7 linked regions of the Macaca mulatta genome follow. The protein of the gene in region 6 purifies or fractionates together with the protein of the main gene of each other region. This does not show direct contact. Links are inferred from orthologs where the notes say so. Each region holds a gene or a part of one and is shown on either strand. Other genes may lie near its edges. The genes, in order: STAT3, ATXN3, XPO1, RUNX1, WDR5, HDAC3 and CCND1.

Evidence for each region.
Region 1: the proteins of HDAC3 (region 6) and STAT3 purify together in Homo sapiens (affinity purification with western blotting; 4 studies listed by BioGRID). This does not show direct contact. The link is inferred for Macaca mulatta from reciprocal best matches to the Homo sapiens genes HDAC3 and STAT3.
Region 2: the proteins of HDAC3 (region 6) and ATXN3 purify together in Homo sapiens (affinity purification with western blotting; 3 studies listed by BioGRID). This does not show direct contact. The link is inferred for Macaca mulatta from reciprocal best matches to the Homo sapiens genes HDAC3 and ATXN3.
Region 3: the proteins of HDAC3 (region 6) and XPO1 purify together in Homo sapiens (affinity purification with western blotting; 3 studies listed by BioGRID, with this or other methods). This does not show direct contact. The link is inferred for Macaca mulatta from reciprocal best matches to the Homo sapiens genes HDAC3 and XPO1.
Region 4: the proteins of HDAC3 (region 6) and RUNX1 purify together in Homo sapiens (affinity purification with western blotting; 3 studies listed by BioGRID). This does not show direct contact. The link is inferred for Macaca mulatta from reciprocal best matches to the Homo sapiens genes HDAC3 and RUNX1.
Region 5: the proteins of HDAC3 (region 6) and WDR5 purify together in Homo sapiens (affinity purification with western blotting; 3 studies listed by BioGRID). This does not show direct contact. The link is inferred for Macaca mulatta from reciprocal best matches to the Homo sapiens genes HDAC3 and WDR5.
Region 7: the proteins of HDAC3 (region 6) and CCND1 purify together in Homo sapiens (affinity purification with western blotting; 5 studies listed by BioGRID and IntAct, with this or other methods). This does not show direct contact. The link is inferred for Macaca mulatta from reciprocal best matches to the Homo sapiens genes HDAC3 and CCND1.

What each region holds. Positions count from the first base shown.
Region 1 is NC_133421.1:66,739,584-66,743,602, reverse strand, and holds the start of STAT3 (signal transducer and activator of transcription 3), read left to right. Parts: upstream 1-1,219; 5' UTR 1,220-1,386; exon of another isoform or gene 1,387-4,019. UniProt on the Homo sapiens protein: Signal transducer and transcription activator that mediates cellular responses to interleukins, KITLG/SCF, LEP and other growth factors. Once activated, recruits coactivators, such as NCOA1 or MED1, to the promoter region of the target gene.
Region 2 is NC_133412.1:165,351,482-165,355,643, forward strand, and holds the start of ATXN3 (ataxin-3), read right to left. Parts: upstream 2,801-4,162; 5' UTR 2,789-2,800; coding exon 2,765-2,788; intron 1-2,764. UniProt on the Homo sapiens protein: Deubiquitinating enzyme involved in protein homeostasis maintenance, transcription, cytoskeleton regulation, myogenesis and degradation of misfolded chaperone substrates.
Region 3 is NC_133418.1:63,242,455-63,245,954, forward strand, and holds part of XPO1 (exportin-1), read left to right. Parts: intron 1-67; coding exon 68-249; intron 250-334; coding exon 335-491; intron 492-565; coding exon 566-729; intron 730-1,903; coding exon 1,904-2,038; intron 2,039-3,250; coding exon 3,251-3,434; intron 3,435-3,500. UniProt on the Homo sapiens protein: Mediates the nuclear export of cellular proteins (cargos) bearing a leucine-rich nuclear export signal (NES) and of RNAs.
Region 4 is NC_133408.1:12,359,897-12,364,184, forward strand, and holds the start of RUNX1 (runt-related transcription factor 1), read left to right. Parts: upstream 1-1,488; 5' UTR 1,489-1,628; intron 1,629-1,840; 5' UTR 1,841-1,899; coding exon 1,900-1,957; intron 1,958-4,288.
Region 5 is NC_133420.1:8,356,143-8,359,642, forward strand, and holds part of WDR5 (WD repeat-containing protein 5), read right to left. Parts: intron 2,429-3,500; coding exon 2,353-2,428; intron 1,559-2,352; coding exon 1,525-1,558; intron 1,208-1,524; coding exon 1,133-1,207; intron 405-1,132; coding exon 317-404; intron 1-316.
Region 6 is NC_133411.1:150,478,537-150,482,759, forward strand, and holds the start of HDAC3 (histone deacetylase 3), read right to left. Parts: upstream 2,801-4,223; 5' UTR 2,742-2,800; coding exon 2,687-2,741; intron 2,582-2,686; coding exon 2,499-2,581; intron 911-2,498; coding exon 768-910; intron 1-767. Other genes in the region: RELL2 (RELT-like protein 2), read left to right, coding at 4,207-4,223. UniProt on the Homo sapiens protein: Histone deacetylase that catalyzes the deacetylation of lysine residues on the N-terminal part of the core histones (H2A, H2B, H3 and H4), and some other non-histone substrates.
Region 7 is NC_133419.1:5,007,858-5,011,357, forward strand, and holds part of CCND1 (G1/S-specific cyclin-D1), read right to left. Parts: intron 3,201-3,500; coding exon of another isoform or gene 3,176-3,200; coding exon 3,027-3,175; intron 104-3,026; coding exon 1-103. UniProt on the Homo sapiens protein: Regulatory component of the cyclin D1-CDK4 (DC) complex that phosphorylates and inhibits members of the retinoblastoma (RB) protein family including RB1 and regulates the cell-cycle during G(1)/S transition.

The sequences.
Region 1 (4,019 bases), on a different chromosome or scaffold from region 6:
TTTACCTTTCTGAACGGTCTGCATTTTCTAAACAGGAACATGTATTAGTTTCATTGAAAAAAAAAATGTCAGGGGTTATCTGAGCAGTGAGATAATGGGTCCTTTATAGATTTTTGTCTTTATACCGGTTCGTATTAAACAAACACAAATATTAATAACATATTTTTAAAGACCCTAAAAAAATAAAAATTAAAAACCCTGATAGTATCAGCACATACACAGAAATCACTCCATTATGCAAAATTCATCCTCTATTATGAAAGGCAAAATGTCTACATTTCCTATGAACCACTGGCTTCAATTCAGCAAAACTTGCATACCAAGTAGGCAAGGTGGAAACGAAAAAGGCGGAACATTTCATGTATTTCAATTCAGACGCATAAAAATGTCAAGCCCTACACGTATCAACTTTCGTATACACCGTCTTCTGCATTCGCCTGTACCGGCCAATGGGCTAGCTGCTCGGAGTTTGATGCTTGAAGTGATGGAACGGAGGACGGGGTTAAATCTACTATTTCTCCCCACGCACTCTAGTATTTACTCTATTTCCACGTCATGTTTCCGGGTGTGTGTGTCCCTGTTCACGCAGAAACTGAAGTTCAAAGCAGGCGGAGTCACTCATGTTCTTTTTGTTGTCCCCAGAACCCAATTCAGGTGTTGGGTCCCCAGAGGATCTGGAGATACCTGGGGACTGTCTAACTGGCTGATTCCCACGTGGTAAGAGGCTCTCAATCTCGCCACCACGTGGTGCCAAGGGCCGGGAAAAGGGAGAGCGGACAGGAGGGAGCTGTATCAGGGGCATTTAAAGTGCCTTGACGTCACGCACTGCCAGGAACTCAGCTGAGTTTTCAGCAGGACATTCCGGTCATCTTCCCTCCCTCCCCCCGGGCTTCTGTGCCCAAGTCCTCGGCTCTTCCCTCGCTGTGGCGGAGGGAGGAGCACCGAACTGTCGGAACAGCCAGCACAGGGGCGTATCAGTCTTCTCTTGGCTCCGCCCTTTCTCCTAGCTGCTCTCTTCATTGGTCAGTGGGCGGGGCTTTGTCGGTACCGCACACGCACTGGGACCTCTGGGTGGCCGAGCGAAATGGCCGTTCATGAATTATGCATGACGGCGTGCCCCGGCCAGGCTGGGGCTGGGCGGGGATTGGCTGAAGGGGCTGTAATTCAGCGGTTTCCGGAGCTGCGGCGGCGTAGACCGGGAGGGGGAGCCGGGGGTTCCGACGTAGCAGCCGAGGGAACAAGCCCCAACCGGATCCTGGACAGGCACCCCGGCTCGGCGCTGTCTCTCCCCCTCGGCTCGGATAAGCCCTCCGGCCTGAGGGAGCCCCGTCGCCCGCCCCCGGCGCACGCGCAGCCCCGGCCTCTCGGCCTCTGCTGGAGAAACAGGTGAAGGGGGTGCAGGGTGGGGCCGTCGGGGAGGCCTGGGGACCTGGGGGCGCCGCCGCGGTTGGGGGCCTCTGGGACCTTGGGGATTTTGTGATGGACGCTGCAGTGGGGCGGGGAGAGATGAGGAGACGCGGAGGGTCGCCCTGAGGGAAGACTCTTCGGGATGACAGGAGCGGGCCTCGGAAGGGACTCGGGGCGCTGGAGGGAAGTTTCGTTCTTCGGAGAAACAGTGAGAACGCGCCCGAGGGGGCACCGTGGGGCGAGGGCGCACTCGGCTGCGGCGGCAGGAGTGAGGGACAGTCCCCCGATTTCCTGCTCCCTGGAGCCCTGGGGACGTTCCGGCCGCCGGAGCGACTGTCACGCCGGCGGGGATCACCGGCGCGGGTGGGGGTCGGAAAGCGCCTCCTCCCCGCCTGGCCGGCGGCTCCCTCTGAGCCACTTCCTCCGCTTGCCCTGTTCCCGCTTCTTCAGGAGCCAGCTGTGCCCTTCTGGAGGCAGGAATAGGTGTGTCTGTCCCCTGCAGCCTCACGGGCTGGCTGGTCGCGGGTAGGCTTTATTGCATAAGAATCAAGTTTCCTGTAGGGAAATTGACAGACCGGTACTCTTTCTAAATTCCCTCCCATCTTTTTCTAGGTTAAACTATGCTCCCCTCACGCCCCCGCCATGTAAAAAAGAGGGGAAAAAAAGACAAAATCCCCGTCAACCCGTCAAGCCAGCTCTAGAGAGAGAAATAAATCTCTTGGCAATGTTCTTTTCCAAATACCTGGTAAAGTCGGCCAGAAGATAAATAATTGAGCCATTGCGTTTACTGGATTGTGGTGTTGCTTAATTGCATAGGACGGAATGAACCAATCGAGAGTGGGAGTTCTGTGTCTCAGAGCCAAGATCTTGGGTAAATGCAGAGGAGAGGGAAACAAAGACAGGCTGGCCTTGACAAAACCATGTGTGCTAAGTTTACCTGCATTTAGGGGGGTGTGGTTGCACTGAAGTTAACAAGATTCAAACCGTCGCCCAAGTTGGTATTTCCATGTTTGATACACATCACCCTGTGCCATATCAGGTCGTTGTAAGTGTGGTGACAAAATCAGTGGTTAGTCATTGTTTTTTGTTAAAAATGTGTATAGTGTGTACCTGCTGGTCTTACTGTATGTGCAACTAAAGGTTTACGTAGTCTGTGCATGGGTTGTAAATTTTTGGCTGGCTGTGCTGATAAAGCATTGGGCTTGAATAAAGCAAAGCAGAAAATCATCTCAATCTTTTATATGTGGATTTAGACTGTGCTATGACTTGATTCAGCCAGTTTTCTATTTTATTTTATATTAAATATGTCTGTGTTCTCTGAGTCAGCACATTTATTTCCTTATTACATGTTCCAGACGGGAGTGCTAGCCCAGTTTTTGTTCAGTTTGCACAGTGGGATGGGGAAACAAGTCTGGAATTAAAAAAAAAAAATGTTTTAGAGGTTGGAGCCTTGATTTTAGTCTCTGTATTAGCACATCCATCACAAAGAACCATTAGTAAATTCATGAATCTTTTGTTTTTTATGTAGTTCATTTGGGAAGAATAATCACTTAAAAATATCCACAGTGCCAGGCATGGTGGTGCACACCTCTGATCCCAGTTACTTGAAAGCTGAGGCCGGAGGATTCCTTGAGTCCAGGAGTTGAGTCTGGTCTGGGCAACATGGTGAGAGGCCAGGAATTGGGTCTAGAGTCTAGTCTAGGCAACATAATGAGAACCCGTCTCTAAGAAAGAAAGGAAAGGAAAAGAGGAAGAAAGGAAAGAAAAAGAAATACCCACAGCACAGTTATGAATTGACCCACAAAGGACTTGTGAGGTAGGTAGTTCACATAACAATTCCTCTAATATTGTAGATAAGAAAATTGAGGCCAAAGGATCAAGACACTTGCCCAAGGCGGCAGAGTGCCATAGTGGTGGAATTTGTGCCGCCTTCTGTATATTTTGTGAAAAGTATCAGTGAAATTCTTTTTTTTTTTTTTTTTGAGACGGAGTCTTGCTCTGTTGCCTAGGCTGGAGTGCAGTGGCGCAATCTTGGCTCACTGTAACCTCTGCCTCCTGGGTTCAAGTGATTCTCCTGCCTCAGCCTCCCAAGTAGCTGGGACTACAGTTGCGCACCACCACGCCCGGCTAATTTTTGTATTTTTAGTAGAGACCAGGGTTTTACCATATTGGCTAGGCTGGTCTTGAACTCCTGACCTCGTGAGCCGCCCGCCTCTGTCTCCCGAAGTGCTAGGATTACAGGTGTGAGCCACCGCACCCAGTATCAGTGAAATTCTAACATATATCTGAACAGTAAAATACCACCAACAGGCTGAAAGACTTTATGGGAGGTAAATATTCAATAAACACGTGAAAAAAGAAATACAAATGGAGCTTGCTTAGATTATTTTTCTACCTAATTGCTATGTCTAACTTGGGAAGTGAGGAACTGTTTTTGGTCAGCATAATTTACCATCAGAATTCAGCTATTTACTAATGAAAAGAAATACTAATCGTGGTTTGTTTTAGATTAAGGACAGTCATGACCTAAATGTCATTTAAACCAGAGTGCATTGTGGCTTGATCAGTGGTCATTTCTGTCTCTAGAAAGTTGCTTTAACCACCCTGCCTCT
Region 2 (4,162 bases), on a different chromosome or scaffold from region 6:
GCCTATACACATGCTGATAATTCAGAGGGACTCTTTTTTTTTTCTTTTCTTTTCTTTTTTTAGACAGAGTCTCGCTTTGTTGCCCAGGCTGGAGTGAAGTGGTGCAGTCTCAGCTCACTGCAACCTCTGCCTCTTGGGTTCAAGCTATTCTCCTGCCTCAGCCTCCTGAGTACCTGGGATTACAGGCACCTGCCACCACACCTGGCTAATTTTTTGTATTTTTAGTAGAGACGTGGTTTCACCATGTTGGCCAGGCTGGTCTCAAACTCCTGACCTTGTGATCCACCCACCTGGGCCTCCCAAAGCGCTGGTGTGAGCCACCGCACCCGGACTAAGAGGGACTTCTTTCGGGTAAGTAGATTTTCGCTAGGCTAGCACCCAGCTTTTATTGATCCCATGGTTCAGTAGAAATGCGTCCCAACTAGGTAACAATCAATATTGTTAAAAATCTTGTCTGATTCTCAGGAAGTAGTGTGGAACATGTTTAAGGCCTTCCATGTTGAAATCTGGTCCCACACCAAAGCCTTTGAAAATTAATAACAAAAATATGGCCGGGTGCAGTGGCTCACGCCTGTAATCCCAGCACTTTGGGAGGCCGAGGCGAGTGGATCGCCTGAGGTCAGGAGTTGGAGACCAGCCTGGCCAACAGGGTGAAACCCTGTCTCTACTAAAAATACAAAAATTAGCTGGGCGTGGTGGTGGGCACCTGTAATCTCAGCTACTAGCGAGACTGAGGCAGGAGAATAGCTTGAACAGGGAGGCAGAGGTTGCAGTGAGCCAGGATCGCGCCATTGCACTCTAGCCTGGGTGACAAGAGCAAAACTCGATCTCAAAAAAAAAATGTTTTTAAGAAAGTACATGTGTATTTTTCACACACTTTACTCAGCCAAGCAACTAAATCTCTATTGTCTATGATTTATAAATCATGTCAATCAAGTCAAAAAATCAGTGACAACTATATGACTGAGGCCTTCCTCCCCCACTGTAAATCTGCCTATTTCAAAAGTTTCTGAGATGTTTTCTACAATGAAAAGCATTGTACTTAACAATTTGTTCCAGGCACAGTGGCTCACGCCTGTAATCACAGCACTTCGAGAGGCTGAGGTGGGAGAATCACCTGAGTCCAGGAGTTCTAGACCAGCCTGGGCAACACAGCGAGACCCCTGTCTCTCCAAAAACATTAGCTGGCCCTGGCGATATACACCTGTAGTCCCAGCTACTCTGGAGGCGGAGGAGGGAGGATCGCTTGTGCCTAGGGAGTCAAGGCTGCAGTGAGCCATGATCTCTCCACTGCACACCTGCCTGGGTGACAGAATGAGATGCCATCTTTAAAATAAAAATTAAAAAAAAGATTTATACTACAGATTTACATCTGGTAAATGTATTCTTTTGTCTTTGCTTTATTTGTTGTGTGTGTGTGAATTTTATTTTATTTTATTTTATTTTATTTTATTTTTTTTGAGACGGAGTCTCGCTCTGTCGCCCAAGCTGGAGTGCAGTGGCGCTATCCTGGCTCACTGCAAGCTCCGCCTCCCGGGTTCACGCCATTCTCCTGCCTCAGCCTCCCGAGTAGCTGGAACTACAGGCGCCCGCCACCGCGCCCGGCTCATTTTTTGTATTTTTTTTAGTAGAGACGGGGTTTCACCATGGTCTCGATCTCCTGACCTTGTGATCCGCCCGCCTCGGCCTCCCAAAGTGCTGGGATTACAGGCGTGAGCCACCGCGTCCGGCCGTGTGTGTGAATTTTAAATGTCTGGGATAAACGATCATTTATAAGCATTTAATAAAACAAAAACCCTTTGCTCCTCCTATTAAATAATAGCCTTACCAGCAACTCTTTCCAAACATGATACTATTACGAAACAAGATATCATGTGCCAAAGTTGTCCTGGGGAAGGCTTCACTCACATACAAATGGATGGATAATAGCATGTGAGAAACGAGGAGTTTCTCCACATGTCACAAACAGTATCTTCAAGTGCATGGTCACTGAAGAGTTAAAGTGACAGCAGGCTAGGCAGACCACAACAAAATCATTCCAGTCCACTCCTAATACCTAAAAACAAAGCTGGCTGCCTGCTCCGGAAAGATGAGAGTACCAAAAGAAACCAAACCCAAACATCCCGTAATAAAAACTCGTGACGACTTCCCTGTTTAGGGGCACAACGGGTTTCCTACTTCACTTCCTAAGTGTCAGGCCCTACAGTGGGCGAGCCAAGGTCTCCTCCCTCGGGAGGCTCGCGGACCTGGTGCAGGGGAAAAAACATGAACAAGACCTCAAAGATCTAAATGTAGGGAAGACTCCAATATAGAATTGAGCAGTCTGGAGAAAGAAAAGTTAATTCTGCCAGGAGTAGGGTAGGAGGGGTCGAGGGAGGTGTCCCAGAGGTGACTGTAGCTAGACCCTAGGGAGAGGGAAGGATTGGGGAGGGGTGAAGGAATCCTCCGAAAAGCTATGGAAAGTGACTTAGAAAGGAAGAAGCAAATCCACTGGGCGCCACCGCGCTCCCGTGTCCCGAGACGCCCCCGGCCCCGCCCATACTCCCTCCCGGCTCCCAGGGCGGGGGCCGCGGGGGAAGTAGGAGCGTAGGTGATGCTCCCCTCCCCGAGCCGAAGAGGCGGGGGGTTGCGGCGTCGCCCCTCGCCCGGCGAGATCGGCATGGGGGCGACTCGGACCCCACCCAGCCCTCCGGGAGGCTGTGATGCCGCGCTCCACGCCCGCCACCGCGCGGCAGACAGCTCCCCACCGCACGCGGACACTCACTTTCTCGTGGAAGATGGACTCCATGTTTATTTGTCTGGAGCCAACGGCCCCCACACCGAACCACCCCCTCCAGCTCCGCCCCCTGTCCCTCCCCTCCGCCCACCCCGCCCCGCCCTGGTCCCCCGCCCACGCGCCGCACGCAGGCCAATCACCCGCGAGGATGCGAGTCACGTGAAGCGAAGAGCGAGTGAACGCCGGGGACACGTGACCTTGGTAGCGCGTCCTCCTAGTTTCTGTTAGAGGGCCTTCTGGGGGATGCTACATCGCCACCTGCTGTCTGGAGGATCTTCTCCGCTTCCCACCCATTTCTATGGGTTCTTAGGTTTCTGGGGGGAGGTTTGGACCACTCACCTGGGTTCGATACTCTTTTTGTTTTCCACTTTGTACTTTCTACTGTGTTCATATAACTATTTACTTTCTTTCTCCTCCTCCTCCACTGAAAATTTAGTAAGAAAAAGCCATCATTACATTCTCCCAAAACCTAGCACTTGTATAAAAATGATAGCTAGGCCGGACGCGGTACCTCATGCCTGTAATCCCAGCACTTTGGGAGGCCGAGGCGGGCGAATCAACTGAGGTCGAGAGTTTGAGATCAGCCTGACCAACATGGAGAAACCCCGTCTCTACTAAAAATGCAAAATTAGCTGGGCGTGGTGGCGCATACCTCTAATCCCAGGTACTTGGGAGGCTGAGGCAGGAGAATAGCTTGAACCCGGGAGGCGGAGGTTGCAGTGAGCCGAGATGGTGCCATTGCACTCTAGCCTGGACAACAAAAGCGAAACTCCGTCCCCAAGCCCCCAAAAAAGGAAAAAAGTGATAGTTAATATTTATATAAGGCTTTCTATGAGCTAGGCCCTTTTCTAAATGCTTTGCATATATTATCAAATTTAATACAGCAAACTTTGATGTAGGTGTTGATGCTATTCATACACATGAGGAAACCGAGGCACGGAGAGGTTAAGAACAGCACAATGTCCAAGGTCAGATGGTAAGTTGCCTTGCCAGGATTCAAATCCAAGTGACTTGTTACCACTGTAGGTGTTCGGACCCTTTAGAGGGAACTTAGAAGTCTCATAAATTGTGTGGGAGACGGGGAGGTAGCAGCGGTTTGATGAAGCTTGAATGGAAGGATAGGTGCAGATCTTGCACCTTGAAACCAGATTAAGGTGTACTTTTTTTTTTTTTTTTTTTTTTTTTTGAGATGGACCTCTCTCTGTCCCCCAGGCTGGAGTGCAGTGGCACAGTCTCCCCGCTTACTGCAACCTCCACTTCCTGAGTTCAAGTGATTCTCTTGCCTCAGCCTCCCAAGCAGCTGGGATTACTGGCACGCATCACGACATCCAACTATTTTTGTGTGCTTAGTAGAGAAGAGTTTGTACCATGTTGGCCAGGCTGGTC
Region 3 (3,500 bases), on a different chromosome or scaffold from region 6:
AAACATGGTATTCATTGGTAAAACTCTTTGCTCATTATTTGCATTTGAAACAATTTTTTTTTCGTAGTTTATCTTACTCATCTGGATTATGTAGATACAGAAAGAATAATGACAGAGAAGCTTCACAATCAAGTGAATGGTACAGAGTGGTCGTGGAAAAATTTGAATACATTGTGTTGGGCAATAGGCTCCATTAGTGGAGCAATGCATGAAGAGGATGAAAAACGATTTCTTGTTACTGTTATAAAGGTATGCAAGGGATAGGTATGAATTAGAATTGCTAAATAAGTATTATGTTGTTACAATAAATGATATAAATCTGTCTTATTTACAGGATCTATTAGGATTATGTGAACAGAAAAGAGGCAAAGATAATAAAGCTATTATTGCATCAAATATCATGTACATAGTAGGTCAATATCCACGATTTTTGAGAGCTCACTGGAAATTTTTGAAGACTGTAGTTAACAAGCTGTTCGAATTCATGCATGGTAAATCTCTTTCTTTACTATATTTTGTTTTTATTTTTATTGAACAAAATAAATGAATGTTTTTGTCTTGTTAGAGACCCATGATGGAGTCCAGGACATGGCTTGTGATACTTTCATTAAAATAGCCCAAAAATGCCGTAGGCATTTCGTTCAGGTTCAGGTTGGAGAAGTGATGCCATTTATTGATGAAATTTTGAACAACATTAACACTATTATTTGTGATCTTCAGCCTCAACAGGTATGTTAAGCACTGAGCATATGTTATTTTTAGAAAGTAACACCTGTATCAATCTGTATGTATCAGTGGAAATAGGAAGGCAACTGTTGGATCCAATAGAAGTGTTTCTGATTAAACTTTCTTTTTTCCTTGAGAACAGGGTATTACTCTGTTGCCCAGGCTCAAGTGCAATGGCACGATTACGACTCACTGCAGCCTTGAACTCCCAGGCTCAGGTGATCTTCCCACCTCAGCCTCGTGGGTAGCTGGGACTACAGGCGTGCACCGCCTTCACACCCAGCTAGCCTTTTTCTCCCCCCTTGGTAGAGATGGGGTTTTGCCAAGGCTTGTCTTGAACTCCTAGCTTCAAGCGATACGCTAGCCTCAGCCTCCCAAAATTATTTTATATGTGTGAGCCACGATGCCCGGCCTGATTAAATTTTCATAGTGAGACAGATTCTTGTTTTTGTTTTTGGGGGGGTGTGTGTGTGTGTGTGTGTGACGGAGTCTCCCTCTATCATAGAGTCCAGGCTGGAGTGCAGTGGCACAATCTCTGCTCACTGCAGCCTCCTGGGGTTAAGTGATTCTCTTCCTCAGTGGCTGAGATTAACAGGTGCGTGCCACCACGCCCAGTTGACTTTTGCCTTTTTAGTAGAGACGGGGTTTCTCCATGTTGGTCAGGCTGGTCTCAAACTCCTGACCTTGTGATCCGCCCGCCTCGGCCTCCCAAAGTATTGGGATTACAGGCATGAGCCACCACCATGCCTGGTTTGGGTTTTGTTTGTTTGTTTGTTTGTTTTGTTTTGAGATGGAGTCTACCTCTGTCACCCAGGTTGGAGTGCTGTGGTATAATCTCGGCTCACTGCAACCTCTGCCTCCCAGGTTCAAGCAATTCAAGCCTCCCAAGTAACTGGAATTATAGGCACTTGCCACCATGCCTGGCTAATTTCTTTGTATTTGTAGAAGAGATGGTGTTTCACCACGTTGGTCAGGCTGGTCTGCAACTCCTGAACTCAAGTGATTGGCCTGCCTCAGCTTCTCAAAGTACTGGGATTACAGGAGTGATCCCCACCGCACCTGGGCCAAAATCAGTTTCAAGATATTTGAGTTGCTTGTGTGTGAATTGCTTGTGTGTGGTTTTCCTTATTAGGGTGTATAAGAACATAAAAGTTAAAATGTCTGCTTTTTAAAATAGGTTCATACGTTTTATGAAGCTGTGGGGTACATGATTGGTGCACAAACAGATCAAACAGTACAAGAACACTTGATAGAAAAGTACATGTTACTCCCTAATCAAGTGTGGGATAGTATAATCCAGCAGGCAACCAAAGTAAGTATTCTACTTTTTCTTAAAGTTTTCATGGGATTTAAGAAGACTGTGTTCCTTACAAATATATTGAATTCAAGCCTTTAAACATGTATGTGTGATCCGTAAGTGCTTTTATGTGTGGCTTTGTACATTTTATTATCTGGGCCAGGCGTGGTGGCTCACGCCTGTAATCCTAGCACTTTGGGAGGCTGAGGCGGGCGGATCACCTGAGGCCAGAAGTTCGAGATCAGCCTAGCCAGCATGGCAAAACCCCATCTCTACTAAAAATACAGAAATTAGCTGGGCTTGGTGGCACATGCCTGTAATCCCAGCTACTCAGGAGGCTGAGGCAGGAGAATCACTTGAACCCAAGAGGCAGAGGTTGCAGTGAGCCGAGATCGAGCCTCTGTACTCTAGCCTAGTCGACAGAGCAAGACTCCATCTCAAAAAAAAACCTGAAAATCTGGGCCGGGCGCGGTGGCTCACGCCTGTAATCCCAGCACTTTGGGAGGCCGAGTCAGGCAGATCACAAGGTCAGGAGCTCCAGACCATCCTGGCTAACACAGTGAAACTCCGTCTCTACTAAAAGTACAAAAATTAGCTGGGCGTGGCACCGGGCACCTGTAAGTCCCAGCTGTGCTCAGGAGGCTGAGACAGAATGGCGTGAACCCAGGAGGCAGAGCTTGCAGTGAGCCAAGATCACGCCACTGCACTCCAGCCTGGGCGAATAAACGAGACTCCGTCTCAAAAAATATTTTACTTCATTCTTAGGTAGATATGGACAAAAAGGCTTTTGTGTTCGTTTTTACCATTTGGGATTATAAATATGATTTAGGGTAAGGGAAGTGTAATGGCTTTTGTTTCAGTAATTATGTGGATAATTTTTTTTTTTTTTTTGAGACGGAGTTTCACTCTTGGTGCCCAGGCTGTAGTGCAATGGCATGATCTCAGCTCGCTGCAGCCTCTGCCTCCCAGGCTCAAGGAATTCTCCTGCCTCAGCCTTCCAAGTAGCTGGGATTACAAACAAGCGCCACCATGCCTGGCTGATTTTGTATTTTTAGTAGAGAGAGGGTTTCTACATGTTGGTCAGGCTGGTCTTGAACTCCCGACCTCAGGGTGATGTGCCTGACTCAGCCTCCCAAAGTGCTGGGATTATAGGTGTGAGCCACCTCACCTGGCCATTATGTGGATAATTCTTACATGATAAATGGAATTTGCTTTTTTTTCTCCAAGAATGTGGATATACTGAAAGATCCTGAAACAGTCAAGCAGCTTGGTAGCATTTTGAAGACAAATGTGAGAGCCTGCAAAGCTGTTGGACACCCCTTTGTAATTCAGCTTGGAAGAATTTATTTAGATATGCTTAATGTATACAAGTGCCTCAGTGAAAATATTTCTGCAGCTATCCAAGCTAATGGTAGGTGATTCTGATTTCTTATACGATGCAGTATAAACACTTCTCTTCTACTGCCTCAAGTCAAAC
Region 4 (4,288 bases), on a different chromosome or scaffold from region 6:
AAGCGGTCTGTTGAGTTTCAATTCCTGCTTTAGTCAAAACAGGAGTAAGTAAAAATTGTGCCTGTTCCTTTTGAAAGGCTTCTGCCATGGAAGCTGCTATCATTGTGTGTCTTTGTGTGTGTGAGATTAAGTGGATGAAGGAAAACCGAGGGAGTGTTGTGGGAGTTCGGCTTTTCTGAAGTCCTGTGCTGGCTACTGCAGCTTAGAATCCAGGACTGGCATTTACAACCCATCATCACACAGGTTCTCTTGACCCTGTGTGTCAAAATTTCAAGTGCACAGAGTGCTATGGCGGAGGTAGGCAGAGCAGAGCAGAATGAATAAGGTAGTTAATTAGGAAAGTAAGTCTTTCTTCATCTTGGAACTACAAAACAAAATGACGTTTTATTTGTCAGCAAGTAAAGCCAGTGGGGCCTGAAAATGAACTATGTGTGGCCACAGTGGTTTGCCCACTTACAAAATTATCCCATTTTTAGCATCTTCAAACAGGCATGCCTTTCTAAGGTAGAGGACGCGCTATATAATATTCATTAGTCAGCCCCAGGAGAAGCCTCTTCTCCTGGTTCCCCTTCTATTGTGAGATCCTCATGTGCACAAAGTGTAGTTTTACCTACAGGTGTAAATTAGCCTATTCATTTGAATTGAACTAGAGAAAGGCAATGCAGGGAGCCTTCCCAAGTGACAACACAAATAAACAGCTGCAGATAACCACTGCTTTGTCCCAAATACAGAAATTCTCTTTGCTTTGTTTTCCCTTAGCTTCCTAATTTGCGTGTGTGTGTGTGTGTGTGTGTGTGTGTGTGTGTGTGTTAAGAGTGTACTATGATTTTATCTCTTTACTGAAAGAGATACATACTAAAGTTGTCCATTTAGGGGGAATAAAACCCCATAATTTTAGTGTCATTAAAATAGTCTTTTAATTTCAAAAGTAAAATTCTTTTCCTTTCCCGGGCTTTAAAATACCTGCGAGTTGCCAGCCCGTTGTAGGGGTCAGACTCTCACAAAAATATTTCTTTTTATTTATTTTTCCCTTTTATAGTTTCACTTATGCCATGATAGACTTTACCAAGCACTTAACTCTCCCGGAGCTGATGCCTAGCATTTTAAATGATGGGATCCACATCCTGTCGGAGCAGCGGCTTGATGCCAGCGTTGAATTACTATTGAATAAGCAGCAATGAAATCTTTATCAAAATAATCAGTAGTTCCAAAAACCACAAATAACAACAGGAGCCGAGTTGTACTAAATCAGCAAAGACCATTGAGATATAATAAGTGACTGAGTCACTTTTTTCTACATCCCCCCTCTTGCAAAGTCTACTCGGCTATTTTCTTGCACAGCCTGGGGGAGGGCAGGTGGAGGGAAGGAAGGGCATTGCTCAGAAAGGAAAAAAAAAAAATTGACATCACTGAAGTCACGTGATCGGCAAGAACCAATTGAGATGGGCTGTGGAAAGGGGAACAGTTAAATTTGTAATTTGGGTTGTGTGAAAACTTCTTTGGGCCTCATAAACAACCACAGAACCACAAGTTGGGTAGCCTGGCAGTGTCAGAAGTCTGAACCCAGCACAGTGGTCAGCAGGCAGGACGAATCACACTGAATGCAAACCACAGGGTTTCGCAGCGTGGTAAGCATCACCAACCCACAGCCAAGGCGGCGCTGGCTTTTTTTTTTTTTTTTTTAATCTTTAACAATTTGAATATTTGTTTTTACAAAGGTGCATTTTTTAATAGGGCTTGGGGAGTCCCAGAGGTATCCAGCAGGGGGGAAAAGAAAGAGAAATGTAGGGCTAGAAGGGTGAGGGTGAAACAGTGACCTGTCTTGGTTTTCGCTCCGAAGGTAAAAGAAATCATTGAGTCCCCCGCCTTCAGAAGAGGGTGCATTTTCAGGAGGAAGCGATGGCTTCAGACAGCATATTTGAGTCATTTCCTTCATACCCACAGTGCTTCATGAGAGGTGAGTACATGCTGGTCTTGTAATACCTCCTTTTGCTCAGCTTTGCCTGTAACGAAATGGCAGCCTGCTTCACCTCGGTGCAGAGATACCTCGGTGCCTGCCGGGTCCCTGTCTGGTTTGTGGGAGGAATTCAAACTGAGGCATATGATTACAAGGCTATTGGATTACTTACTCATCAGATGGAAGCTCTTCAGAAATGTTTTAATAAATACTTAGTTATGCTGTTGGAGTGTTCAGTCGGTGCGTGAGAACTTTGTCAAGTGTGAGTAAGTTGTGCTGGTCTTGTTTAAAGGCTTAGAGATTACGAAGCTTGCACGAAGCTCCCTGGGTTTTATTTTGCTGTCCCTTGCCCAGAATGACTGTGTCTGAGTTATCCTGAACTCGGCATGCTGTGTGGCCCAGAATGCAGCCTGCCCTGGGGCTTAGCAGGCACATGCACAGAGCCAGCCAGGAGGGCTGGTGCCAGTGTGGGGCAGGAGGTGGAGGCTCTCAGATAGCCTTGCACCAGCCTGGGGACTTCAGGGCCAAAGTGGCAAGGCAGCTGTCTCTACAAGGCAGAGAGTACAAGAGCCTGACAGACTCGCTTAGGTGAAAATCACCAGCACGGGGCTGTGCTGTGTTTTTCCTTGTCGCCTCAATGCAAACAGACGGCCAGCATCTTTCCAGAGAGAAAGGAAGCAGACTGTGGCATACCGAGGTCTCTCTGGAAAACGGCAATGAAGAAGGTTCCCAAGTTAAGCATTCTCACAGCTGAAGTCGTTAGATTACAGGCTTCTGAATAGGAACAGCCAGGGTGGAAAACCTGTCTCCATTTTTGAAACCAGCCTCTTGAAATGCACAAAGCTGCGGTTGAGCTGTGAGTGTGTGAGTGTGTGTGTGCCTGTGTGTCTTGTGTATCTTTCGTGGTAAAAGAGGGCTGTGCTTAAACAAACAAAAATAATAACATAAAATGTCACAAAGGCATTGCCGTGTGCGTCGGGGCACGCACTCTGACCAGTGCCTGCAAAGTGTTTCTTGATGGTTTGGCAAAGCCGAGATGGAGTGGGCTGGGATAGGAGAATAATTAATTTTCTGGCTACAGACTCTCTTGAGCACCCAAATAGTATCTGTGACTCATTATTTATTCATACAGCTAAGTGAGCAGGGGAATGCAGAGGGCTTGCCAGTCACTTTATCACAGCAAATGCTATTGTGAATGCACAGGGCTCTATGTTTCCGGGTCCCTGATATTAAAAAACTTGACGAGAGAGAGAGAGAGAGAGAGAGGGTGTGTGTGTGTGTGTGTGTGTGTGTGTGTGTGTGTGTGTGTGTGTGTGTTGGGGATGGCAAGAGAGAAGTTAAAGGGAAAGAGAAGAAAGCAAGTCATTAACCAGCTCAAGTTTCAAATTAAAGAGTTTTCAAGTGCTTCTTTACTGGCAGCAGAGGGAATTTTAGTGAAGTTGAATCATGCAGACATGCATTAGTCACTAGTCTTGCAGCGTCGTTCAGTTGGTAACACAGACACACCGGCCACTGGTAAAGAGCTGCAAACGGCTCCCTGGCTGCATTTCCTCTGGGCTGCTAACAAGCAGAGGAAGCAATATTTGTTGAATAACAGAAAGAAAGATCTTCCTGACTTTACTCCACTTTCAATACCCCCTCGGAACGTGTATTGTTTCCTATTTTATCAACTCAGGAAGGCAGATTCAGGAAATTTTTAAGCATTCCATTGAGCAATAGGTTGGATTTCAGTGTGCAGTGCTGGCCCCTGGGCTCTCCTTACTGGCCAACAGCAAAGATGGTGAGGGACACGGTGACCCGTGCAGACATCAGGAAATAGCAGGAGTGCCGCTGTCTCCCGGACAAGCCCAGGGCTCCTGTGCCCAGTGGACACTCCGCTGACCTGCCCTTGATTAGGAACGAAGGTCGGTTATTTTTCACGGGGGCAGTGTAGGGAGGGCCTGAGCTCACACCAAGACTCAAAAGGGCTAATCTGGAAAGGTTTTTCCACTCCTTCCTTTCAGTGAAAGGAACTCAGGGTTCTTTAGAATCTCTAATTTGATAATATAATATTGAGATTTGCTATCAGAGGGCCGGGTGAAATCTTGGCAATTTCCTGGTGAATTTCATCCAAGTGATCCATCAACAGAAAGGTTTAAATTGTCCAGGTTAGCTGTCCACATCATTCACCGGAGCCAGAGAGGTGGCAAAATATCATTTCTTTTGGTACCGTTTGGTCATCGTCTTAGAGCCTGATGCTAGAAGAACCACCATCCCTGCCAACAAATGGCTCTCCCCCAGAGTTCTCAGCCTGTTGCCATAGCTGGGCCACTCGCAGTGGTCAATGCGGTC
Region 5 (3,500 bases), on a different chromosome or scaffold from region 6:
AACGGAGCTCGCCGTGAAGTGGGACACGCTACACCCACCTAAAGTCCCACAGCCACACACACCTTCCGGACCAGAATACCCGGCAGAACAGGAAGAAACAGGGTTCAAGACAGGAGCCCTGGGTCCGAGTCGGCAGCACAGTGACCAGCTCCATGCCTTGGGCAAGAGCTCTTAGCAGCGGCTCCTCAATGGGGCCAGCGGAGGGCTGAGGAGGGAAGGGGAAGACGACGGCACCCTACGGGCAGACCACGCTTCACCTACAGGAACTGTCCTCACATGAACAGGCAGCCGTGGCTGCGGGAGCACAGGCCCTCACCTGTGTGGCCTTGTAGTTTCTGTACAATCTCTTTCGTCTGAAGGTTCCAGATGTAAACAAGGTTATCCTCTGAGCCAGACACAATCCACTAAGTAACAACAAGCAGGGAAAACAGGGCAAGGAAAAGCAGGTCAGCGCTCGTGTATGTGGAAGGGGCAGAATCTCCAGTTATGCCCCGCCCCACGCCCACCCCGCTGGTGGCTGCCTGGCTGAACTCAACCAAAAAGCCGTGCCTGCCCTCCAGCCAGGCCTGAGGCTTCCTCCCCCAGTGCGGACAGCCCCGCCTGCTCTACCCCAGCACGGGCCTCGCTCAAAGAAGCCAGGCACCTGCTTGCCCCAGGAGAGGCTTCCAGGCTGGAAGATGCTTCTCAGGTCCCCCTTTCCTGAGTCTGTGTGTCATACACATGCTGCCCAAGAGTCACCCCGGTCTAAGCAGCATCGAGACCAGTGTGGGTGGGCGGGAAAACACTCCCCTCCCTGCTGGGGCGGGTGGACAGCCTCGGAGCCAGCGCACCCACCCAGGGACACCCTGAGCCGCGGAGCTCCACCTGTGGGGTCCCAACCCCCTCGGAAGGCATCGGCCAAGCACTGCCAGCAGAGCCCGGCAACAGGCTGCCTGCCTCCATTAAGGAGCTGGACCTAGAAACAGACGGGACAAGGTGTCCCCGGTGCCTGGCGCAGCGCACTTTGGTTGAAATGGAAATTCATTGTGTGGGCACAGAAAAGCGTCTGAGTGTAAAGCAACCTGTAACAGGGGTGACCTCTCGGGAGAGTAAGCTGGGAACGCGTGAGACGCTTCAAGGTCATAAGACTCACCTTCCCGCCAGTAACAGAGAAATTAGCAAATATGCAGTATTTCTCATTCTTGTGGCCAGTGTACGTCTTCAGGCACTGAAACAGGAGGGGACAGGCTGGTCACAGAGTCATGGATCCCCTTGATTTTGTATAATTCTACGTTCTAAGCAAGGCGTTTCACCACTGACTACACTTACTTCTGAAAAGTACAAGTACAAAACCCACACAATCGAAGATTTAACTTGCAGACTGCCACCCTACGAATACCCAGGTTTTTCAGGAATCTGCACCAAACCCGTGGAAATGGTTCTCTGAGCTCCTCTCCTTTGTCATCAGCGGGGCCACTCTGTCCCCACCAGAGGCCATGACCCAGGGACGGCGCACAACGGGGGCCCGAGCCTGCGGGAGCTCACCTTGCCCTTGCTGTAGTCCCAGAGCTTCAGAGTGCTGCAAGACAGAGAGAGGCGTGAGGCGGCACGGCCGGAGGCGTCCTGTCCCCACGCCCAACTCTGCAGCCACTACGTCACAGCCACCATCAGCGCCAGGTGCAAAAGCCAGCGGGGATGCAACCCCCTTCCCCGTCAGGGTGAGGGCCCCTCAGGCTCAGAGTCCAGTGACTTGGCGTTGGGGAGCCACAGTGTGAGAGCCCCAAGTATTTGCAGTTCCAAGAGAGACTTTAACAGGAAGCTGACGGGTGTTATCGTCCCTGACTCAGGTCATCCTCAAAAGGGTGAGGAAGTCCTCTTGGTTCTGGAAACATCCAGAACAGGTTTTACCACCCAATCACACAGCCCTCAGAGGATCGGGGCCCAGACTTGGACCCACAGGCTGAGGCTGCATGCGTGGGAAAGCTGGAGCTTAGAGAACAGTCCGGGAGGGCAGCGGCTTTGTGAGAGGTAAAACCAAGGTCCTCAGAGGTCAGAACCAGAAAGGGCCTTGGAGGACCCCGGACCACCTACTCCTTCATGCGGGATGGCTAGGCCTGCCCCGGCCACAGTCACTCAACCAGAAAACCGACCCTAAATCCTCCTTTAGTCGGACCTGAGGTTCAGCCTCGGGAAGGGATGGGCAGGGGCCTGCCCTCTGACCTAACAGGCCACTGCCCAGAAGCCAAAGCTCCAGCAGGAGCCTGGGTCCCGTGCCAAGCCCACGACATGCTCTCCGAAGGCTCACGCTGGCGAGCAGGCGTCTCTGGCTGGGGAGGCCACACGCCCGCCCCCACGGTCCCACGCAGTACTCACTTGTCCAGCGTGGCGGCCAGGATGTATTTGCCGTTCGGGGAGAACTTCACGAAAGACACTGGGGGGTTGTCGTCATCTGCAATAAAAACAGACAGGTGACACGGGGCGGGCGCTGACAGCTGGGCAGGGACAGGAGGTGGGACCCGCTCCCCGTCCCCCACGTGCGACATCTGAGTGAGGTCGGCCACCACCACCAGTGCCAGCACCACCACCCCCTGGTGCCCCGAAGGGTGGCCTAGCCACGCACACCAGCCGTGAGCAGGTTCTTGACACCTCAAGCCCATGGCCCCGGGGGCCCCTTGACACCAGGACTTAAGGAATACAGGCCTCCTCGGGCACCGGGCAGTGGCCATTCTCAGGAATCACCTGCCTCACAGGGGAGGGATGAGGTTGGCGAATGCCCAACTCAACGGAGGGACAACTCCACCAGCAGCAAAAAGAGCTGGGGAAGTCACCTTGGAAATCCTCCTTTTTTTTTTTTTTTTTTTTTTTTTGAGACAGAGTCTTGCTCTGTCGCCCAGGCTGGGGTGCAGTGGCCGGATCTCAGCTCGCTGCAAGCTCCGCCTCCCGGGTTTAGACCATTCTCCTGCCTCAGCCTCCCAAGTAGCTGGGACTACAGGAGCCCACCACCTCGCCCGGCTAGTTTTTTTTTTGTTTTTTTTTTTTTTTTTGAGACGGAGTCTCGCTCTGTCGCCCAGCCCAGGCTGGAGTGCAGTGGCGCGATCTCGGCTCACTGCAAGCTCCGCCTCCCGGGTTCACGCCATTCTCCTGCCTCAGCCTCCCGAGTAGCTGGGACTACAGGCGCCCACAACCGCGCCCGGCTAATTTTTTGTAATTTTTAGTAGAGACGGGGTTTCACCGTGGTCTCGATCTCCTGACCTTGTGATCCGCCCGCCTCGGCCTCCCAAAGTGCTGGGATTACAGGCGTGAGCCACCGCGCCCGGCCAGTTTTTTGTATTTTTTAGTAGAGATGGGGTTTCACCGTGTTAGCCAGGATGGTCTCGATCTCCTGACCTCGTGATCCGCCCATCTCGGCCTCCCAAAGTGCTGGGATTACAGGCTTGAGCCACCACGCCCGGCCGGAAATTCTCCTTTTAAGAATTTATCGACGCAAGGGGCATTCATGCCCACACAACCCATCTGCTTGT
Region 6 (4,223 bases):
TTGTTGTCCACTCCTTTCCCCACAGGGTCTAATCCTGACTCTTCTATGGATGATACCAGCTCAATGTAAACCTAACGATATCAAACCACTCCTTTGTTGTTTTTTTGTTTTCTTAACTGCCCATAGCCCTCTTATGATCAGGACTTTTTAAAAAACTTTGATAGCTTCCCTCTACTCTAGGAGTAAAAACCCTAATTCATAATAGAGCTGTTTACTTTAAAAAGGCCCTATTTCTTTAGCCTCAATTCAGTTCACCTCCTCTTCATATTCTGCACTTGGCCTTTTTTCTGTTCCTCAAATGAGTCATACTCAATCCTACCACGGACCCTTAGCACTTGTCCCTACTGCCTGCTATACTCCTCCCCTCACCCTTCAACCACCTTTCATCTCACTACTTCTACTCTTTTTTCAGATCTCAGCTCAATCTTTACTTCCTCTAGGAAGGCCCCACCGACCAGCCACTACACCAAGCTAAACAATTCTCCACATATATACTCTCATAATCTGTCATATACCTCCTCTTCATAAGACTTAGCAAAAATACAGTATTAAAATTTTGGTTTTGTTCATCACTGCATTCCCAGCACTTAGCACAGGGCCTGGCCTAGAACAAGTGACCAGTAAATATTTATTGAATAAACAAGTAAGTGAATTATGATTCATTGACAAGTAGGCCCCCCTTGAGATCTTCCCACTGCTGCCAAAAGACCTCACTGAAGGGCTTGGCATTAAACTATTAGACATCAAAAGTCCCAGTCCTCCCTCACCAGTCATCGCCTACGTTGAAGGCATTAAGACTCTTGGTGAAGCCTTGCATATTGGTGGGGCTGACTCTCTGCAGGAAGTCAATGTAGTCCTCGGAGTGGAAGCGGCACATGTCATGCTGGGAGGCCTGGTATGGCTTGAAGACCTCGGGATGGAGACACAAGATGAACCTAGCCAGGGTCAGCCCCACTCCACAGGCTCAGACCACCCATACTGAACCCAGCCCTGGAGACTATATGAAGCCAAATATAGCATTCCCCTCATCCCACAATCCTTAAGTCAATAGAGAGACTCCAATTAACCAGGTGAGTTATTACGAATGAGCCCCCTGAAGACCATTTCTTTTCCTTTCCACCTCCAGCTCAGCCTATTGTACCTTCTCAACTTTGAGCCCTGATCCACCTGCCCTGTTCCTTGGATCTCCTATTCCCAGTTCTCTCCACGCTCATCTCCTCCCCCAAGCTCTGATTCTGTCCTCTTTCCTCCAGATTCTTCTTTCTGGAGTCAAATATATGGCATATATGTCAACTTTCTAATTAAAATCAGAAGTTTACTATCTTTGGAAGGTCGGGGGGATGTGTCACATCTCTTTGAAAACTGGACAAATTTTCTCCCAGAAAATGCACACAGGTACATATAGGCAAACAATCTCAAGGGATAAAGATTCCTGCACTAACATCACCTCAGTCTTTTCTATGACCAATCTATTTGTCTGTGCCTGGGCACAAGCAATGAACATTCATTCATATTGTTCACTAGCTTCCCTAGCAACACATAAAGCCTGGGCTTAGCTGTTTTGTCTTATTTTTTCTTTTGAGACAAGGTCCTCCCTGTCAACTCAGGCTGCTGATCATAGCTCACTGTAACTTCAAACTCCTGGGCCCAAGCCATCCTCTCGCCTCAGCCTCCCAAGTAGTTGGGACTACAGGCACACCCACCACACATGGCTACTTTTTTTATTTTTTATTTTTGTAGAGATGTGGGTCCCACTGTGGCCCAAGCTGGTCTCCAACTCCTGGCCTCAAGCGATCCTCCCATTTCAGCCTCCCAAAGTGCTGGGATTACAGGCATGGGCCACTACACCTGGCCTGGCTTAACTGTTACTATGCCATATCACAGCCATAAATTCCAAGCTGGGAAGACAGCATGTGTATGTCTGGGAGATGAAAAACTGGATAGCGATTAAGTAGAACCATGTAGAGGTATTCCGGGCTGAAAAAGGAATACCTAAGATATCTCCTCTCTTCCACACGCACATACACATTTAGAAACACGGTAGTATCGTCCCACCCTGGAGCCCCAGCTCCTTGGAGGTAAAAAAAAGGTGGCAAAAGAGGAGTGGGAACTGAGGGTAAACCTTACACCCTGATACAGTGATATCCGCTCCCCTAAACCTAATTCCTGAGGCCAAGGCCCTATCCACACTCTAAAATGCAGAGGAGGAACACTCCTTCTGTCTTCAAACCAGCCCCCACATCACCTTAACCCTAGGCCAAGGGCTAGGGTGCCTACAGTCAGAGGGTGGCCGACCTGAGCTGAGAAAGTACTTTCCATTAAGCAGAGGACGCCACCTCCAACACCCGGCACTTTCAAGATACTCCGGTGTCTTCTATCCAGCTCCCCGCTACTCTAGGGGCTGGTCGCACTTGATGCACTCAGTCCAGCCCACCTATCCCTTCCGCCACAGCTCGCCCCACCCCCCCCCAACCCCCGGCCGAGGCGGCGAAACTCACGATCATCTTCTTATAGAGACCGTAATGCAGGACCAGGCTATGGGTCAATGCCAAGCGATGGGGCTTCATAGGGTGTCCAGCTCCTGGGGGTGGGGAGAAAAGAGTTCGTCAGCTCTCACCCCTGGAGTTGCAACCCCCGCCTCAAAACCTCCGCGTCCCAACCCTCATGCATAGCCCTGTTTCCTCACCGTAGTGGAAGTTGCCCACGTCGGGGTCGTAGAAATAGGCCACGGTCTTGGCCATGGTGCCGGCGGGAGCAGGCCCCGCGCCTCCGCCGCCCGCCGCCCGCCGCCCGCGGCCCGCCACCCGCCACCCGCCGCCAACCCCGCCCCAGCCGTGCGTGCTGCGCAAGCACGTAGCCTGCCTCTGCGGAACTGGGCGTTGCGGTCCCGCCTCCAGCCACACCCAGGCCACGCCCCCGGGGGAGCTCCGCCCCTCGCCTGGCTCCGCTCTCCCGGGAGCTGCGGCTTTGAGCGTCCCGGGTTGGGCGGGGAACTGGTAGCATCGCTCCTAGGATGCAAGGGCCATTTCTCTCCGGCCGGGGGTCAGATCCTCGGGAAGCTGAGCCATCCCATCCAGCCGCTTGCCCCAAACCGGGCGCAGGCCGTGGTCACTTCTCTAGGAAGCTCCGAAGATCCCGCCACGCCGTCCCTCAAAGGTGCGGAAAGCCGGCTTCCCCCAGCCCTCGGGGAAGATTCCTGACTCTCCGCTTGGTCGGGGCATCTGAGGGCAGGAGCTGCGCCAGGCGTAGCGGATAGACCAGTGGACAACACCCACGCCGGACCTCCTGTCCCCTACCCGGACCTAGACTCGGCGCCACACATTGCCCCGGGGGGGCCAGGCGCAGTCACGCGCGCGCAGAGCTCACGCTCTCCGCCCCGCACACCTGCGCTCCGCCTCCTGGTCCTGGGCCCGCGACGGGCGAAGGCATTTGGGAAGCCAGGGCGGCTGCGGAGGCGATCTCCCTGACCCAGGGCCGGAGTTGCCCAGAGCCTGCCGCCGCTCTCAGTCAGCCCGCATCCTTCTCTGTCCTTCCCTCCCCCCGCCTGCCACGGCGCGGGTATCCGCAGCCACAGCCCGGGGCCGGTGAGGCGGCGAAGGGGGAGGGGAGGAATCAAGGGATGAGCGCCGGAAGGGCGTCGGGGGCCCCGAGCCGCACTAGGACGCCCCTGGAGCCGGAACCTGAGCAGAAGCCGGAACCAGAACCAAATCACCGGTACCGGGTGGGCCAGGTGGTCAGGGTGGGAGAAACCAAAAAGGGAGAGGGGTGCGGGAGTACTGAGAGGAGGGGGCTGCAGAGGCCTGGCTCAGGCCGGCGCGGAGGAGGTGCGGGCGCTGACTCAGGCACGATTTCTGCTCCCGCCGCCTAAGAATTCCGTCCCATCTCGTGCTGCAGTGTCCTTGGGAGGGACGGAAGCGCGAACGAGCTGGAAAGGGGAACGCTCGGGGCGTCGGGGAAGCGGGACCAGGGTCGTGGTAGAGAGCTTGCGTAGCCGCTGACCTCTTGCCTTGGGCCGTATTGACGAAACAGCACCCCTGGCCCGGACAGCTCCCTGGTTGGGTAGGGGGTGGAGCCGGACCTTAGCCGAACGTCTTAGACGTGCTTGTTTCAGATCCTGAGAACTGCATTCCTACCCCTCCCCCATTCCCAGCTGCAGCCTCCTAAACCCAGGAGGCGCCCTGGCCCGCGCTCGCCCCCCAGGGCCTCATGTCGGAACCACAGCC
Region 7 (3,500 bases), on a different chromosome or scaffold from region 6:
CTTCCTCCTCCTCGGCGGCCTTGGGGTCCATGTTCTGCTGGGCCTGGCGCAGGCTTGACTCCAGCAGGGCTTCGATCTGCTCCTGGCAGGCCCGGAGGCAGTCCTGAGAGAGACGGAGTGGGGAGAGGTGGGAAGAGGGGGTCCTTAGAAGGGGCCTGCGGTGAGGGCCCCCTCCCAGGTGCCACGACCTGGAAGGCCTCTATAAGAGCAAGACTAAGTAAAAAACTGTCCCTTGACCCATGCCGCCGCCTCTGAACCTGAGCGAGACGTGGGAGCTGCCATCACCTGTCAGTGAGACACTCAGGACCCAACGCTTCCACCTCCCACCTGGCCTCCGGAGCCACAAGACAGCAGATGCTTGCCCGCCCACCCTGCACCCGCTCTGCCCATCCCCAAGCTCAACAGCTCCTTGACCTTCTGTTCCCACTGGCCCTGCCAGCTCCCTGGGGAATTCAGTGCCATCTGATCTGGACAGACAGGCCCTTTCAGTCCTGCCTTTTCAGACAGCCTCTCCGTGTGGCAGCCCTCCAGGTGAACCTGGCCTTCCATGATCAACGGCTGTCAAAGTCTCAGGCCGTGCATGACTGAGGATGAATGCTGGGTGCCCAGGGGGACCTGGACCCTTGATCCCTCACCTCCATCCTCTCCCGCTCAGGCCTGTGCCCCGGGGCCACCCATCAGCCTGGCACAGCATGCATCCACCCGCTGCGGCCACAGAGGTGCTCGCCCTCGGGTGGAGTGCAACAGAAGCTCCTGGAAGTCCTGCACCTCCGCCCTCCGGGTCTCCAGACCCCCTTGGCGGCGGCCGCACCACACCGTCAGTGGGAAAGAGCAGCCATGGAATCCGGAACCCCGCGCCCAGCCGGGGGCCTCTCCTCAGCTCCAGCACGGGCAAGTCCCAGGCAGCCCGAAGCGGCTATCTCCTGTGCGGGGGCTTCTGGATAGAGAACTGGCTTCATGTGTTGGGGCTGTGTGTGTCCCAACTGCCAGGAAGCCACAGTAGGGCTTCAAGCCGAGTCTCTAGGCAGCCCAGGAAACAGACTTTCCACAAGGAGCAGGGCTGGGCCACAGCCCCAACAGGTGCCACTGAACTTCCAACCAGATGGGGGTGGACAAAGGCAGGGCATGACAGGCGATGACCTAGGCCAGAAGGACTTTTCAGTGGACCCCTGGGGTCGTAACATTTTAGCGTCCTGTGACTATAGGGAGGGCTTTCCTCTCCCGCCTTTCAGATAAATTCTCATCATGGCAAATGAAGCCGGCTGGGCTGGCAGCACAAACAGTCCCACTGTACAGATGGGGAAACTGAGGCCAGAGACCTGGGGTGAGATCCAAGACTCCTGATGTTCAACCTAAAACACCAGCCACCCTCAGTTCCCAGCTCCAGGGGCCTGGCAGCTCCACCCACGGACTCTTCACCTGCCGTCCGCCCCCCTCACCATGACCCGCTCCAGGGTCACGCATGCAGCTGGACTCCATTTCCCTCATTCCTCTGGCCCCACAGCTGCCTGCAAGGCTACCCTGGTGGACAGAGCTGTTCTCCCACAGCCAGAAGCTCCAAGGAGGCAGCACGCTCCTCCACGAAAAGTCACTGGTGTGTGGCCCTGTGCACCCGATTCACACAGATGGACATTCCACCCACCAAAGAAAATTCTAGAACACGCCCTAGAAAGTGCAGGGGGCCTCTGCTGTGAACGGTTTTTCTGAGTCTGGGCTCAGCTAATCAGGCAGAGTGGACTCCGCCTCAGGTAACTTCACCCCGTGTGTCAGCTGTGAGCGTGTGCCTCCCATCTAGTTCAGATGGTCTCTACTCAAATAAGGGCCAGTGCCCAACTTCCCACAACTGCCCAAAGACAGCAACATCCCGGGCAGATACCCCTGGCGGGGAGGCGGTTTCCACTCAGGGCGTGGAGTTGGAAATGAAAGTGCAGATGCGAGTTTCATTTTGACGGAGGGGCTTTCCCTTTGCTGGGCTTCTGGAGGCCTTGACGGCGTTTCTGAACCATTTTCCTGAGAGAACTGTGGGCTGCTGGCCTCCACCCTACAGCGGGTGAGGACACCTTACCACCCCCACAGGATAACACGGGGCAGGGTGCAAGGGAGGCCACGGCCGAGAGCACAGAAGGGAGGGGAGGGCGCCCCTGCCACCTCCAGTATCCCATGGCAAAAATGCTTCTTCCTCTTCCGAGACACACATGGGCTGGGCAGCCGCTAGCTGCCTAGAGGCACCGCTAGGCAGGGGACAGGCAGGTGGACGCTAGATAGCATCTGCTGAGACCCGTGCGGAGCCCCCGGGAGGCTCGAGGGCAGACCCCCAAGAGGCGGCCCAGGCCAGAGCCACAACGGGCCTCGCAGGCCCAGCCGGCCCCAAGCTGGGGTCAGGCGGTCACTCCCTCACACACCGCAGGGCCGGCGGCTGACCCGGCCACCTCTCTGGTCTAATTTGGTAAATGCCACAAACCCTTTTGATTGTCATTTTAATTCTTTCTTTAAGAAAAGAATCGGGAATAAAACAATGGCATTTTGAAGAAGAAAGACACAGTCATGCCAGGGTTTAACGGCAGCAGCCTCTCAAAGAGCCGTAAACAAGGCCGTCTCTATCCGCCCGTTGTCCGGCGTCTCGGACCTCACAGGAGCCCTTTTCAAGCATCTATTTATTGGCCACGCACATTGTGGCCCAAACAAAGCTCGCCTGGGCCTAACCCCACACACTATCACCACACGGACCATTGGCTGGGGCCGCCTGGGGCCGTCGTCCTAGACGCTTCGCCCAGAAACACTCTACAGCTCCTGGAAGCCCCAGGGGACATGAGCAGCCTGTGAGGACCTCCCGACCGGTCAGTGAGTTCTAGGAGCAGTGGAAGAAGCTGGTGCCCTGTCAGTCTGTGGCTTGGGGTCCGAGGGGCCCAGCCCCAGCCCCAACCCCAACCTTGTCACCCTTGCACCAGCCTTGGCATTTCCGTGGCACTAGGCGTCTCCTGCCTGTGAGCCCCGGCGAGGCTCCCTGGGACACTGCCCTCACTCACCGGGTCACACTTGATCACTCTGGAGAGGAAGCGTGTGAGGCGGTAGTAGGACAGGAAGTTGTTGGGGCTCCCCAGGTTCAGGCCTTGCACTGCGGCCACCACGCTCCCTGCTGCCACCATGGAGGGTGGATTGGAAATGAACTTCACATCTGCAGCAGGAGAGAGGGAAGGGGGCTGTGAGCAGGGGACCCGTGATCTGGGCATCCCCACGTGCTGGCTCTGAGCAGGCGGCCCGGCCTGGTGGGTACCACTCTCCAGGCCCTCCCCAGCCTCCCGCCATCCCTGGGTACTAGGAGAGCAAGAGCCCGGCCCAGGGACCCTCCAGGAATGTCAGCCCCACTGTTGACTCAAACATAACCAAGCAGAGAGAAAGCCACGGGAAGACAGGACAGGTGACAAGGACATCACTACCCTCTCATCCTTTCAGCATCTTGAGCCTTGTGAATGTTACCACTTATTCACAAAAACAAAGTT